Linked DNA regions of Oryctolagus cuniculus. The protein of the gene in region 1 interacts with the protein of each later gene in a pairwise test. Links are inferred from orthologs where the notes say so. Each region holds a gene or a part of one and is shown in the gene's direction. Other genes may lie near its edges.

The links. The genes of interacting proteins can lie anywhere in the genome.
Region 2: the proteins of USHBP1 (region 1) and FBF1 interact in binary tests that used the Homo sapiens proteins (3 or more experiments, as listed by UniProt). The two-hybrid records come from large-scale screens. The link is inferred for Oryctolagus cuniculus from reciprocal best matches to the Homo sapiens genes USHBP1 and FBF1.

Annotation. Positions count from the first base shown.
Region 1 is NC_091447.1:65,254,315-65,258,302, reverse strand, and holds the end of USHBP1 (harmonin-binding protein USHBP1), read left to right. Parts: intron 1-43; coding exon 44-169; intron 170-296; coding exon 297-433; intron 434-619; coding exon 620-760; intron 761-836; coding exon 837-992; intron 993-1,084; coding exon 1,085-1,334; intron 1,335-1,559; coding exon 1,560-1,784; intron 1,785-2,417; coding exon 2,418-2,515; intron 2,516-2,692; coding exon 2,693-2,815; intron 2,816-3,068; coding exon 3,069-3,264; 3' UTR 3,265-3,311; downstream 3,312-3,988.
Region 2 is NC_091448.1:4,748,966-4,752,634, forward strand, and holds part of FBF1 (fas-binding factor 1), read left to right. Parts: intron 1-120; coding exon 121-327; intron 328-463; coding exon 464-603; intron 604-681; coding exon 682-800; intron 801-1,993; coding exon 1,994-2,116; intron 2,117-2,192; coding exon 2,193-2,378; intron 2,379-2,639; coding exon 2,640-2,816; intron 2,817-2,885; coding exon 2,886-3,023; intron 3,024-3,308; coding exon 3,309-3,426; intron 3,427-3,669. UniProt on the Homo sapiens protein: Keratin-binding protein required for epithelial cell polarization. Involved in apical junction complex (AJC) assembly via its interaction with PARD3. Required for ciliogenesis.

The DNA of each region.
Region 1 (3,988 bases):
CCCCCACCCGCGGCCAACCCGGCATTGTCCTCACCCCTCGCAGGTCCAGGAGCTACAGGATGCTCTGATGAGGCTGGAGCCCCTGTCTCCGCGCACCCACAGCCACGCTGGAGGCTCAGGGAGTGGTTCTAGCAGTTCTGGGGCGGATGGGGAGCCCTGGGGGGGTCAGGTGAGTGCGAGAGGCGCAACCCGCAGCATCCAGGCAGGGGAGACCCGGATCCTGGCTCTGGGGGGTTGCATGGCCCTGGGTTCTCGGTGGCCATCTGGCTGGCTCAGGGCACACGTCCTCCCTGCAGGACTCCCTCTCCCTGGCTCACCCGCTGCTCCGGCGCATCCGGAGTGACTCCAGTGTGCACATCCTGGGCTCTCTCCCCTCGCGACCCCTGGCCCCCGAGATGCAGATCCTGGAGGCCCAGATGGAACAGCTCCGCGGGTGAGCGCCACCACTGCTGAGCTTTTAAGGGCACCGGCCGCTGTCCTGCCGCCCCGGGGATGGGCGTCTAAGCCCCGGGGATGGGCGTCTAAACGGGGTAGGAGCGGGGTGGAAACTGGCCCCTGGCTGCTCCCCCCCTCCAAAGAGTCCCCTCGTTTTCCCTCTCCCTCCCCCACCCCGAGACAGAAACATCGAGAAGCTCAAATGCTTCAACCGGCTGCTACTGGCCGTGCTGCAAGGGCGCAAGGGCCGGTGTGAGAGCCTCAGCATGCGGCTGAGCCAGCGGGAAGCCGAGGCTACAGCCCTGCGGCTGGCGCTGCAGGACAGGTCAGGGGAGAGGTCCCCGCGGGGGAGGGGCCGCGAGCCACGGCGTGGGAGGGCGCTCAGGACCCCCGTCCCGCAGTGAGCACCGTGAGGCCGTGTGCGCGGCTCTCCTGGCCCTGCACGAGGCCAGCTCCGGAGCGCGGGACTTGGAGGCCACTGAGAGGGAGGCGTGGCGGCTGCTGGCACAGGAGGAGGGCGGCGCAGACGCCGCGGCACCGCGGAAGGCACAGCCAAGGTAGGCGCCCGGGGACCGCGCTGGGCCTTGGGGCTCCCCGGGGCTGGCCTCCGTGATGGCCTGCGGCACCCACTCCTCCTCTCCTCCCGCAGCCCCGAGGGCAGCAGTGTGGATAAACCCACACCGCAGGAAGTGGCCGCCCTGCTGCAGGGCTATGCCCGGCGTCTGCGGCAGCGCCAGGCTCTGGTGAAGACCCCCCCAGAGCCGGGCCCCACCGTGGAGCCCACGCCCACCATGCCCCACGCAGAAGCCATGGTGCAGGCCATGCTGGAAGCCCAGCCCGGCCCGGCCCTGCCGCGGTTGGAGAAGATGGAGATACAGAGGGAACTGGTGGCCACACGGGTACACAGGGGCTGTGGTCCCTGGGGGGGGGGGGTCAGAACCGACAGAGGTGTGGTTGGGATGGGGAGGGGGAAAGGTTCTGCTGGGCTGGGAAGGGCTTCCTGGAGGGAGAATTGAAGCTGGGGTTTTGAGGGATGAATAGGAGTTTTGTTACTCACAGACCTCTCAATCCAGTTTTTCCCAAACGTGCTCGCCAGCCTCAGTTTCCCCTCCCCGACCCCTCAGGAGACCCTGGCGGACCTGATGTTGCAGCTGCAGCTGGTGCGGCGGGAGAAGCGGGGCCTGGAGCTGCGGGAGGCGGCGCTGCGCGCCCAGGGCCCCGCCCACGCACTCCTGCTGGAGCAGCTACAGTGGGAGCGCGCGCAGCTGGGAGCCGCGGGGCCCCACAGCGGCGCGGGGGACAGCAGCGGGGCGGGCAGCAGCGAGGAGGAGGAGGAGGAGCGGCCCCAGGTGAGCGGCCCTTCGGGGGTCGCTGCCCTTGGCCCCTAGGGGTTCAGTGGATGAGAGAGAGAGAGGGAGAGAGGTCTTCCATCTGCCGGTTCACTCCCCACATGGCTGCAAAGGCCGGGTCTGGGCCAGGAGCCGGGAGCTCCATCCGGGTCTCCCACGTGGGCGGCAGGACCCAAGCCCTGGAGTCGTGGGCCCCTGCCTCCCAGGGGGCGCATGCGCAGGGAGCTGGGGCGCACGCAGATCAGCTGGGACGCCACCAACACTCTGATACGGCCACGGCTGTCCCAGGCAGCAGCCCGCCCCGCGGTGCCACCACACCGCCCCTGCCCCAGGCTTCTAAACGGGGCTCTTCGCATCACCCCTCCCACCTGCAAGCCGGTGCTGCCACCAGGAATGTCCACCGTCTCCAGGAAGCCCTCCTGGGTTGCCCTCAAAGGAGCAATATTCGGCACCCCACCCCACCCCGGCCCTGTGACTTATCTCCCTTATCAGGGACTTGAGGGTCTCTTAGCAGAATGGGGGCTCTGGGAAGCGAGGGGCTCTGGCTGCCCCCCCCCCAGGCCAGCTTCTATGCCCAGGCTGGGCTGAGCACTTCTAGACAGAGGTCACCTCCCTCCCTTCTGTCTCCTACAGGGTCCTCCTGCTGTCCCCAACGCCACCGAGGGAGGCCAGGTGGGCAGGGCGTGGGACCCGGAGAGGTTAGCCCAGGAGCTGGCCGCTTCGCTCGCCAGGTGTGTGCCTGGGTGGGTTCTGCGGAGGAGGCGGGGGTGGGGACGTGTGTGTGTGTGTGTGTGTGTGTGTGTGTGTGTGGTGTGGCAGCGTGCGCCTGCGCGCAGGGGCGTGGGGAGCGGAGAGGAGGACCGGGTCGGGCCGCGGCCGGAGCCCCGCTGTCTCCACTCCCGCGCCAGGGCCGCGGATCTTCGCGCTCAGCTGCGGGCTCTGTGGCGGGAGCTGGAGCAGGTGGCTCAGAAGGGGCGCGTCCGGCGGGCTCAGAGCGCCGAGCTGAACAGCGATCTATGCAAGGCGCACAGGTGGGCCGCCGCCCCCCGCAGCCCACCCCTGCTGACCGCGGGTGTGTCCCTGGGCCTCGTTCCCCCCACTTGGAAGATAGTGAGCGGGTGCAGTGCAGGCCACGCCTTTCCTGCAGGATGCCCGGAGCCAGCTAGGACGTAGCCCCGCCCCCGCGGCGCCCCGCCCCGCCCCCGCCGCAGCCCTGGGTGGGGTGGGGGTGCTGTTCTCTGGGGTGGGGCGCTGTTCCCCGGCTCAGCCACCCACACCCTGCAGTGCCCTGGTCCTGGCGTTCAGAGGCGCCCACCGGAAGCAGGAGGAGCAGCGGCGCAAGTTGGAGGAGCAGGTGGCAATCCTGGAGGCCCGGCAGGCGGAGGAGTTGGCAGCACTGGAAGCCACGGCCCGGGCGCTGGAACAGCCCGGGTGCCCCTGCCCGCCTCCTCCCCCCCAGCTTGGGGAGACCTTGCTGTAGGCTCCACCCCCAGCCACGTGTCATAAACCGGCCTGGAGTGACTTGTCGCCCTGGGGTGCATGTGTCCTCATGGGTGGGGACCGGTTGCCTGGGCCACCGGGGTCAGGCTGTGAAGGTCATGGTCTCCCCCTCCCCCCCCCGGGACCCGGAACAATCAATCCAGGGGACAGGGAAGGTGGCAGAGCCCGAGCTGATGTCCCCAAGTCCTTTCTTTGTCCAGAAACCCAGGGCGGGCCCCTGGGGACAGGACACTCGTCCCCTGCCCATCTGCTTCCCAGGGAACAATCCAGAACAACTGGAGGCCCCCAAGGTTGGGGTTCAGGTTCAGGTTCAAGGCGTGGATGGTCGGCTGGAAGAGGAATCAGGGTTTGTGGAGGCTGAGGGCAGGCATCAGAGAAAAGTCTGGAACTCTCGATGCGTGTCCTTCCGGGGAGGGGGTGGGGCACAGGCCTGCCGGGCCCTGGGCAGCCTGGGAGCTTCCAGATCTCCCGCGGAGGTTGGGGGCAGCGGGAGGCGTTCCTGCCAGGTTAATTGCAGGCGACTGATTAGCATGTCATTTGCATAGGCCGCACCCCCAGCCCCTCCGCAGCAGGCTGGCTGGCCCTAGGGGGCTGGGATTAGTAACCCTAGACAGGAGGGATTAGGAAGGTTGTGGGCCCCTACCTGGGGGGGTGGGCGCCCCAGACCGCACCTGTGCAGGTGGTGCGGGGGCCCGCGGCCTCTC
Region 2 (3,669 bases), on another chromosome or scaffold:
AGAGGCCCTGGGCGCCGGAACCGCTCCAAGGCATGTTCCTTCCATGGGGGGCTGCCACGGTGGCCATCCATCCCCGGGGTCCTGCTCCCGACCCTTGGCTCCCCCCATGCACCCCCTCAGGATGTCCATCCGGGAAATGCGCAAGGACCACGAGGAGCAGCTGCAGCGGCTGAAGCTGCTGAAGGAGCGGGAGATCGACGCCGTCACCAGTGCCACCTCCCACACGCGGTGCGTGCTGCCGCGGTCACTCCCCCGCACGCGCTGCGTGCCGCCGCGGCCACCCCCCCCGCACGCGGTGCGTGCCACCGCGGCCAACTCCCACACGCGGTGCGTGCCGCCGGGGCCACCCCCCGCACGCGCTGCGTGCCGCCGGGGCCACCTCCTACACACGGTGCGCGCCGCCGCAGCCACCTCCCGCGGGGCCGGGGCTGAGGCCCCCCCCAGTGACCCGCTGCTCTCCCAGGTCCCTGAACGGCGTCATCGAGCAGATGGAGAGGTTCTCCAGCAGCCTGAGCGAGCTGTCCTCCCGCGTGGAGGCCTCGCACCTCACCGCCGCGCAGGAGCGGGAGCTGGGCGCCCGGCAGCGGGACGAGCAGCTTCGAGGTAACCTGCCCTCCAGGCACAGCAACTGGGCGTCCTGAGTCGGGGGAGGGGGGCACTGAGCACCCTGTGGGCCCCCAGCACTGCAGGAGCAGCTGGGCCGGCAGCAGCGGGACATGGAGGAGGAGCGCAGCCAGCTCCAGGAGGTCATCGGGAAGATGGAGGCGCGCCTGAGCGAGCAGAGCCGGCTCCTGGAGCAGGTGAGCCCGGCCCCTCACACCTCTGCAGCCATCCCACGGCCACGGCCAGTGTTGCCTCGGAATCCCGCCGCCTCCTGCCTCCGCATCTTCCCAGCCCCTGCATGGTCTCGGCACGCCCAGCTGAGCACACAGGAGCCGCCTGGCCACGGCCCCACCGCGAGGCCCTGGGCCATGCAGCTCAGGCTGCCCAGCGCCCCGGTCAGCTGCACCTCCCGTCACATAAGCTGGCACCTGTGGCCCTGGCCCAGCAAACACCAGTCTGGACTCCCTGCTGCCTTCATCTGTCCTTAAATAATACTCTTCCTGGGCCGGCGCCGCGGCTCACTAGGCTAATCCTCCGCCTAGCGGCGCCGGCACACCGGGTTCTAGTCCCGGTCGGGGCGCCGGATTCTGTCCCGGTTGCCCCTCTTCCAGGCCAGCCCTCTGCTGTGGCCAGGGAGTGCAGTGGAGGATGGCCCAGGTGCTTGGGCCCTGCACCCCATGGGAGACCAGGAAAAGCACCTGGCTCCTGGCTCCTGCCATCGGATCAGCGCGGTGCGCCGGCCGCAGCGCACCGGCCGCGGCGGCCATTGGAGGGTGAACCAACGGCAAAAGAAGACCTTTCTCTCTGTCTCTCTCTCTCACTGTCCACTCTGCCTGTCAAAAAAAAAAAAAAAATACTCTTCCTTTCTTTGTATTTGGTTATGATACATTTCATTTAAAAAAGCAAAATACAGGAAATAGTAAGAAATGAAAACGACCACTAGCCACAGAAGCCACTACTGGACGTAATGCGGGCCCCGCCGCGCACCAGGTAGCTGCCGTACCAGCTTCGATGTGCACCTGCTGGCTGCGGCCTCAGGCCTCAGGCCAGGCGCCGTCCTGCTGCTGCCCTGCTGCTGCGTGGCCCCAGGTCCCCAGCACAGCACTGCGCCCTCTGGTGTTCCTGGCCGCCTTGGCTGTGGGCGACAGCAGGCACAGCGCTGTGGCAGCTAATGATTTGGGGACAGGAGGTTGCTGTCCTGTGGCCCTCCCGAGCCGCTGGTTAGGAGACCTGAGGGCTGGGCTGGCGCCCCCTGGCGCCTCCTCAGCCCCACCCGCAGGAGCCGGGTCCTGGCAGGTAGCCCCCGTTTTGTCTTGGGGAAGGAGGTGTGCTGGAGAGCAGCCAGGCCTGTCTCCGGGGCTGGGAGCCACTCTTAGCCTGGGCCCTGCAGGAGCGGTGGCGGGTGAACGCCGAGCAGTCCAAGGTGGAGTCCACGCAGCGCGCCCTGGAGGAGCAGAGGAAGGTCATGGTGCAGCAGATGGCCATGGAGAGGGGGGAGCTGGACAGAGCCAAGGTGAGCGCGGCCCCACCCTCCGCCCTGACCCCCAGCGCCCAGCGACACTCAGCTCACGCCCCTGCCCCACGCGCAGACCGCCCTGCTGGAGGAGCAGAAAGCCGCCATGAGAAAGTGTGCTGAGGAGCAGCGGCGCCTGGTGGCCGAGTGGGCGGACTTCTTCACCCAGCAGAAGCTGAGTAAGGAGCGAGCCGAGCGCGAGGTGGAGCGGGCGCTGCAGGCCGACACCCAGCGGGAGGGCAGCCTCCTCAGCCTGGCCAAGGTAGGGCCTGGAGCCTGCAGGGGGGAGGCAGCACGAGTGCGAGGCGCTTTGCTGTGCACGGTCCACACCCGGCCCCTGTGCAGACGCAGGCCTTGGGCCTCAGGAAGCTGCCGTTCAGAGCCGAGCCTGCCCCGGTCAGACAGCTGCCCCCGACCCCACCACGCCTCGCAGAGGCAGGGCGGGCAAAGGAGGCCCCGGGGCCCCGCCCAGGCCTGGTGCAGCCCCTGAAGGCAGATGCGGCAAAGCTTCTGCCATCTTTAGGAGCAGGCGGAGCTGAAGATCAAGGCCAGTGAGCTGCGGGCCCAGGAGGAGCAGCTGGCGGCCGCGCGGGCAGCGGTGGAGCGGGAGCGGCAGGAGCTGCAGCTGGAGAAGGAGAAGGTCCAGGCCGCCGCCCTGCGCCTGCGCCTGCGCGCCGAGGAGGTGGAGAGCATGAGCCAGGTGTGCCGCGGGGCGCCGGGCCGGCCGTCACCCCGCCCGGCCAGCCCTGACCCAGCGGCCTTCCTGCAGGTGGCCTCCGCCAAGTATGAGGAGGGCGAGCGGGCGCTGCGCGAGGCCCGGCAGGTGCAGTCGGCGCAGCAGGCCCGGCTGCAGGTGGTGCAGCAGCAGCAGGAGCAGTTGCGGCAGCAAGAACAGCGCATGCACCAGGCAAGGCCGCCCTGCCTCAGCCCGCGCCCCTGTCCCCCCACCCCACCCGCGCGCCCGCGCCCCTGCCCGCCCCCGCCCGCACCCGCGCCCTCACCCCGGCTCAGCCCGCGCCCCTGCCCCCCCCACCGCCCCTGCCGGCGCGCCCACCCTGGCTCAGCCCGAGCCCCTGCTCCCCCCCCACCCCCCGCCCTGGCTCAGCCCGAGCCCCTGCTCCCCCCCGCCCCGCCCTGGCTCAGCCCGCGCCCCCGCCCCCGCGGCTGACTCGCCTCTCTGGGGACGGCACAGGAACATCTGAACTTGGCCCAGCAGAGGCTGCGGCTGGACCGGATCCAGCAGGATCTCCCCTCCAGCCTTGCGAGGCTGAGCCCCGGGGCCCAGGGCCCAGCAGCCCCCCGCCCGAGTGGTAAGTGGCCCGGGAGGAAGGGCGGCCTCAGGACCTCTCTTTAAAGTCACGTGTGTGTGCGTTTCCAGAATTCATTCATTTGAAGGGCAGTCAACAGAGTGGGAGAGACAGACAGAAATTCTTTAAAAAGAACTTATCTGAGAGTCAGAGTTACAGAGAGAGGAGAAACAGAGACCATCTGCGGGCTCACTCCCCAAATGCCCCTGACAGCCGGGCTGGGCCAGGCTGAAGCCAGGAGCCAGG